Linked DNA regions of Ovis aries. The main gene of each other region encodes a partner of the protein of the gene in region 2 in a complex. Links are inferred from orthologs where the notes say so. Each region holds a gene or a part of one and is shown on either strand. Other genes may lie near its edges.

Region 1 (2,991 bases), on a different chromosome or scaffold from region 2:
ATCCCTAGGGGGCTGGGGATGAAGGCAGAGGAGCTGAACTGCTGCCAATGACTCTTCAGTGGTGGCAGCTTCAGACTTTGGAAATAAGACGAGTTGATCTCAGTCTTCTCTTTGCAAAGTCTCTTTCCCTGACTTTGCTGTTTGACCTGCGTGGTAGCTTTTGAAAAGCTTTTCACTGGGAGCTGAAGACAAGCAGTTGGGAGGCTGACTGAAGAAAGAGGTACCCTTTGCTCCCTGGGCTGAGGTGCCAAATGGCTGGAGCTTCTTTAGACTGGAGAATATCTGGAATCGCCCCTGGCCCCACCTATTCCCTAACCTTTATTTTACCAGCTGGATACACAACATCACCCAGAGGGAGGCTGGGGCCTTAGAGCTGGCCCATCAGTCTAACAGGAAGGAGGAGGCAAAGGAGGAGCAGGGGTGAGTCTGCCCGCAGGGGAAGGGGTGGGGGTGGGGCCCCCGACTCACTGCCCCCTCATTGTTCCCTTTCCCAGACTCCGAAGCAGGGCTAGACCCCAGACAAGCATCCTCTTCTACCCAGAATTCAAAGAGGGGTCCTGGAGATCCTGGAGATCAGCCCAAGCCTAAGGGAATAGCCTAGGAGGAATGGGGGTGGAGGTCCTGGGAGGGGATTTGGGGTTAGAATTTCTAAGATTGATGACTTAATGTGCAGAGTCACCAAGTCCAGGAGAGGCTCCTGGAGGGACTTCAGAAACTGGCTTCTCCCCTTTTGTCTGCTAAACTTCAGGAAGGCTTTTATGGAACAAGGAACCTCCCAAGGCCAGTCCCCTGAAATCAGTTACCCTGTCTCTGTAGGAAGCTGAGGAATTGACACAGATCATTCTAAAGAGTGAACATTCCCAAAGTAATCTCGGTGGGGGGGGGGGGGGGTTGGAATACACTCTGGGAAACTTGTAGAGGTGGGTGGGAGGGATGTCTCCCACCAGAACTGTTGTCTTTGCCTGTATGGAAGAGCCTATATTCATTCCCTGGCGGACAGATCTGGGCGGAGCTTTGAAAGCTGAGACAACTGAGAGGCAGCTGTGTTGACTTGTACCCCCCACCCCCGCCCCACCTTGTCCCACCACGCCGGAGTCCCAGCCCCTGTGTTTACTCTCTCTGGGTGGGGCCTGGGCTTAAGGGGCCTGCCAGAGGCTTTCTCCTTTGTAGTTCCCTACCCAAGAACCCCAGTGATGAAGATTTGCTAAAGCGTTTACTGATTCGAGAGCTGCTGGCCTGGATGGTGGATCAGATGGAGCTCTGCACGCTCAGGTGGGAGTCTGGCAGCTTTGGGCATCTTGCATATTAGTTGTGAGCTCTCACTATGGAGTCAGACGTGGGTTCAGATCTTCACCCCAACACAGGCTGACAAATTACTTACACTCTCCGAAACTTGAGACTTCCCAGGTGGCTCAGATGGTAAAGTGTCTGCTTGCAATGCAGGAGACCCAGGTTCGATCCCTGGGCTGGGAAGATCCCCTGGAGAAGGAAATGACAACCCGCTCCAGTACTCTTGCCTGGAAAATCCCATGGACAGAGGAGCCTGGAAGCTACAGTCCATGGGGTCACAAAGAGGCATTTTTGTGAAAGTCAGGGTTATTTAAACCACTTCATAGGATTTGGTGGGGTTTGAATAAGATAATGCTAGGAAAAGGGTGACAGAACATCTGCAGAGTGTTAAGAGTTTGGTAATGTTGACAGATCGTGGTACCACTTTCACTTCTTCCTCAGTTTCCTCCAGGTGAGATGCTGCTCTCACCTGCCCTACCCACCCAAGACCATAGCATCCTCAGCTTTCCCTCAGTACCCGTGTGCCACGGCAGCTTCTCAGTGGTGAAACCTCTAGAGTTGGAGGAACGTTGCCCTTCTCTGTAGTTCCAGCTGGTCTCAGTAATCCTCGAATCCTCCTCCTCAGCTAGGAAGTCTTTCAGTTTATTAATATCATGTCTTAGAAGCAAGGGATGGCTCAAAACCATGGAGAGATCCAGCCACTCGAACAGTGAGACAGGACATTCATTTAAGATGCAGACACCAAGATGCAGAAACCAAAACAAATTCAGACTTCGGTGATGGGAAGTTGAGGGATTGAGGGAACAAATCTGGAATGGCTTCCTGTAAGAGGGTTAGAAGGACCCTATGTGGCCAGAACAATGGAGAAAAGAGTATGAGAAAATCTCCTTGGTAAAGTGGGTAACAGTCTGTGCACTTTTTGGAATAATTACCTTTAGAAAGGTAATTTGGAGGTAGGAGGAGTTGAACTATGGCTGGGTGCCAGAATACACTTACTTTGCTGACTCTAAGCCGAGATATTCCCCTCCTCTCTCCACTCTGCACAGGTTTCAGTGACTCTGACCAAACCCAAGCTCAGAACTGGACTCTGCCCTTCATTTACTCAGCTCCTGCTTCATCTCCACTCCAAGATACTCCAAAGGAACCAAACTAAGTTTAAGCTGAAATAAATGTTTGTGCTCATTGTCAAAACTGACGTGTCTACTGTTGACTAACTGGATGTTTGTCTGTGTGTGCACTACTCAGTGAAAAGGAGGTATGGCTCTTACCCGTTAATTCATCGATTGTTTCATGAACACTTATTGGAAACCTAACACAGGCAGGGATTATGCTTAACACTGAGTATACAGCAGTGATGGAAACAGACACAATCATTGTCCCCAGGGGGTTTACAGTCTAGTGATGAAGACATACCTTAATCTTTATACAAACAGAGACTTCCCTGGTGGTCCAGTGGCTAAGACTCTGCACTCCCAAAGCAGGGGACCCAGGTTTGATCCCTAGTCAGGGAACTAGATCCCACAACTGAAGATTCTGCATGCAACAGAGAAGCCTCATAGACGGAGTAGGCAATCAGGAGGGCCTCTCTGAGAAAATGATGCTTAAGCTGAATGAGATTTTTTAAACATTTCTTTCTTTTTGGCTGGGCTGGGTCTTCCTTGCTGTGTGGGCTTTCCTCTAGTTGCTGTGACGGGAGACTAC
Region 2 (3,651 bases):
TTAATCTGCGGGGGGGTAGGGGGGTAGAGGAGAGAGAGAGACTGAGCCAGTTCCCCGCCACCTTGGCTTCCCAGGATGGGAAATTCTTGAGACCAGCCTGGAGGAGATGGGACCGGCCGTACCAAGATTGTTAGGAGAATAGGGGTTCGTATGATCCACCAAATGGCTTTGATATCGTTCCGCTCCCAGCACCTGGAGGAGGGGGCGTAGATAGACTAGAATACCCTAGACTCACAGAATTGAGCACTTAATTTCCCCACCTTCTTTAAGGCCACACCCACTGCTACTATTTAGGCCCAGCCCTCATCCCGCCCCTTGCAGCAGTCCTGGAACCCATCTTCCTAAGCGACTGGTTCCTTTAGACACCCTCCCAGGCTCCTAGAAGCAATTAGAACCTCCCCACGATTCCGTCTCGCCCCGCCCACGTCCCTCCAAGGACCGCCCACATCCCTCAAAGCCCCGCCCACCCCAGACCCGCCCCACCCCAGACCCCGCGACTCACTGCGTGTTCTCGAACAGGTACCTGACGATCACCCAAGGAATGACGAAAAGCGTGGGGGCCCCTGTGCAGACCCCAACCCCCGCCCCCCACCCCGCCGCAGCTGTCAGAGCGCGCACGGGCCCTGCCAGGCCCAAGACCCGCGGAATTCCCCCGCCGGGAAGGGGAGGCAGAGAATCCTAGAGAGGGGTGGAGACCCCCTCAGGCAGACCAGCTGGGTAGTTTGCGGGAGGGGAAGCGCGCCGCTGGGCAGGGCAGGGGGCAGAGTCGGGGCTCACCCCAGCCGAGAAGCATGTAGCAGCGGAAGTGGCCCTCCTCGGAGCCTCCCACGAGCACGAGGAGACTGTGCAGGTAGATGCCTTCCACCAGCAGCCACGTGTAGTTGGCACCCACGCAGTACTGGGTCACGATCTGGGCCGTGCGACAGGCAGCTAGGGCCTAGGGGGTGACCAGACAGGAGGAGGGGGCAATCAGGGTCCCCTCCAAGCCCATCTCTTGTCATCAAATATTCTCTTCCCATTCTGTATCACCGAAGGATGATAAAGCTATCCTTTCCTCACTCACTCTGTTCTCTTTCCCTACATGAACTCTCCTACTCTAACCTCTTTAACGATTGGTATCTTCCCTGGAGAAGGAAATGGCAACCCACTCCAGTAGTCTTGCCTGGAAAATCCCATGGACGGAGGAGTCTGGATGGCTACTGTCCATGGGGTCGCAAAGAGTCGGACACGACTGAGCGACTTCACTATCTATCTATGTTCCCTGGAAGCTCAGCTGGTAAGGAATCCGCCTGCAATACAGGAGGCCCTGGTTCGATTCCTGGATCGGGAAGATCCGCTGGAGAAGAGATCGGTTACCCACTCCAGTATTCCGGCCTGGAGAATTTCATGAGTTCCCCCCAGATTCCCCTGAATATGGACTCTCCCACCCCATCTCCTAAGAATTCAACTACACCTTTCAAAACGTTTTTCTCATCACCCACCAGCACATGGACTCTCCCACCCGCTTCGCTTTCAACAATTGGTATGGCCCAACTTGCTGCCCGACAGGTTCTCTCCCCACCCGCCCCTAGTCTCTCCCACCTTGTCTCCCTGGAACAAATTGGTATCTGCCAAATCCCCCCATCGGTTAGTTTCTCCCATCCTGCCAACTTCTGTCTGGCCTCTAGCAGGGGCCTCTCTTATTGGTGCAAAACTCCAATGACCGGTGAGATACCGAGAGAAAGGAATGGAAATGTTCCAGTAGAGGAGATAACGGGATGAGAGAGTTCAATGATGGGGGAGGCTGAGTAGGGAGGGTCCCTCTCTAGTTGTGTCAGAAGGGTCTGGAGAGATGAACAATGGATAACATTATTGTTCTTTTTGTTGTTTCCTTGTGCGTGGACTGTAGCCCACTAGTCCCTTCTGTCTGTCCATGGGATTTCCCAGGGAAGAGAAGTGCAGTGGGTTGCCATTTCCTTCCCCAGGGGATATTCCCGACCCAGGGATCGAACCCATGTCTCCTGCATTAGTAGACAGGTTCTTCACCATTGAACCACCAGGCAAGCCCGGTTGATAGGGTGAAAATTGTTCAGTCATGTCTGACTCTTTATGGCCCCATAGACTATACAGTCCATGGAATTCTCCAGGCCAGAATACTGGAGTGAGTGGCCTTTCCCTTCTCCAGGGGATCTTCCCAACCCAGGGATCGAACCTAGGTCTCCTGCATCGCAGACAGATTCTTTACGTTCTGAGCCACAAGGGAACCCTCTGGCCCTACCAGAGGAGGCAGAATCTCAGTTTGAGAAAGAGAAGGATGTTGCTCACCTGGTTCCACAGGGTAAGGACCTGATCCCCAGGGTAGGGGCCAGGGGGAGGAAGCAGACGGTCTCGGGTGAGGATGGCAGCTGCCCGCAGCATGAAAGACGTGAACAGGTTGATGTGGATGTAGTTGCGAGTGCAGCGCAGCCGCCTGAGGGATTTGGGAGGCAGTCTGGGGGCCTGTCCTTGGCCACACAGAGTCCCTTAAATTACGTCCCAGCCCTCCCCACAGAACCACCATTGGATACTTGTTGCCAGTGGAGCCTGACTACCCCATCTTTCTGGGAAAACTGAAGCCCAGTCTCTGCTGCTTCTGTTCAGGGTTGGGGGTTCCCACCTGAAGATACTCAAGATGAGCAAGGCGAACAGCAGTGTGGCAAGAGACAGGGAGTAGCCCACAGTGTACACAACCTGCAGCCGTTCCAAGGCCAGCCTTTGGTCCTGGGGGTGGAGGTGGGGGAAGAGGATACAGAAATAGAGCTCAGCTCCCGCAAGCCACAATGGCTGAGCCCGGACCGAAAAGCCTGCATGCCGCAACTAGACCCCGCTCACCACAACTAGAGAAAGCCTGCACAAAGCAATGAAGACCCAGTGCAGCCAAAAATTAATGAATAAATTTTAAAAAGAGATAGAGCTCAACTCCTGCCCTCAGGCCATAAAGGAGCTGCTCTTTGTTCATATTTGCACCCCAATTTTGGGGGGGATCTATCAACCTTTTTTTGAGTGGGGCATTCCACCCCTCAACCCCAGGGCTGGGCATGTGACCAACGAATCAAAGCATGCTATCTAACACCACGCGCGCGCACACACACACACACACACAGAGTGACTACTCAAGGGCAGGTATGCTACTCAAATCAGGCCGATGACGGTCAGTCCTGAGACATTAAGTTGGAGCTATTGAGAAAAAAGCTCAGTCTGCCTATAGCATTGCCTGCAGGTGGACTGTGAGCCTGGTACTGATGGGGGCCACCTTTTCCACCACCACCCCCCCACACACACACACACAAAAGAGGACACCATCATAGAGAAAAATAGAAGTACAATATGGTGAGAGAGATTCCCAACTACATCATTTTAGCACCTAGATCCAGCTGTACCTGAAGCTGTAGCCTTATAATTTTCAATCACAAAAGCCAATATATTTTTCTTTCTCCTTCAAGAAAGGAGTTGAAATTGCTATCACTTTGAACCCAGAGTCCTGAATGGTACAAGGGGTTTCAGGCTCTGTCTGAGCTGTTCTACTGCTGCCTGGAAATCATACCCTTAAATCTCTCCTCTTCTTACCTGAAAAACCCCATTTTTCTCTGGGTTTTCACACTGAGAATGGTCTCTCCAAGGTCCCCATTGGCC

Evidence for each region. Proteins that work in one complex are often made in the same cells at the same time.
Region 1: the proteins of GIPR (region 2) and GIP are in contact, whole or in part, in a cryo-EM structure (PDB 7RA3), measured with the Homo sapiens proteins. The link is inferred for Ovis aries from reciprocal best matches to the Homo sapiens genes GIPR and GIP. Residues at the interface, in NP_000155.1 of Homo sapiens: Gln30, Thr31, Ala32, Leu35, Tyr36, Trp39, Tyr68, Trp71, Leu88, Trp90, Arg101, Arg113, His115, Asn120, Gln130, Arg131, Leu134, Glu135, Leu137, Gln138, Tyr141, Tyr145, Arg183, Ile187, Arg190, Asp191, Pro197, Gly198, Pro199, Tyr200; in NP_004114.1 of Homo sapiens: Tyr52, Ala53, Glu54, Gly55, Thr56, Phe57, Ile58, Ser59, Asp60, Tyr61, Ser62, Ile63, Ala64, Met65, Asp66, Lys67, Ile68, His69, Gln70, Gln71, Phe73, Val74, Trp76, Leu77, Leu78, Lys81.

What each region holds. Positions count from the first base shown.
Region 1 is NC_056064.1:37,313,817-37,316,807, forward strand, and holds the end of GIP (gastric inhibitory polypeptide), read left to right. Parts: intron 1-330; coding exon 331-420; intron 421-1,170; coding exon 1,171-1,272; intron 1,273-1,401; exon of another isoform or gene 1,402-1,473; intron 1,474-2,336; coding exon 2,337-2,346; 3' UTR 2,347-2,481; downstream 2,482-2,991. UniProt on the Homo sapiens protein: Potent stimulator of insulin secretion and relatively poor inhibitor of gastric acid secretion.
Region 2 is NC_056067.1:53,030,638-53,034,288, reverse strand, and holds part of GIPR (gastric inhibitory polypeptide receptor), read right to left. Parts: coding exon 3,586-3,651; intron 2,740-3,585; coding exon 2,636-2,739; intron 2,450-2,635; coding exon 2,305-2,449; intron 938-2,304; coding exon 778-937; intron 564-777; coding exon 503-563; intron 193-502; coding exon 1-192. UniProt on the Homo sapiens protein: This is a receptor for GIP. The activity of this receptor is mediated by G proteins which activate adenylyl cyclase.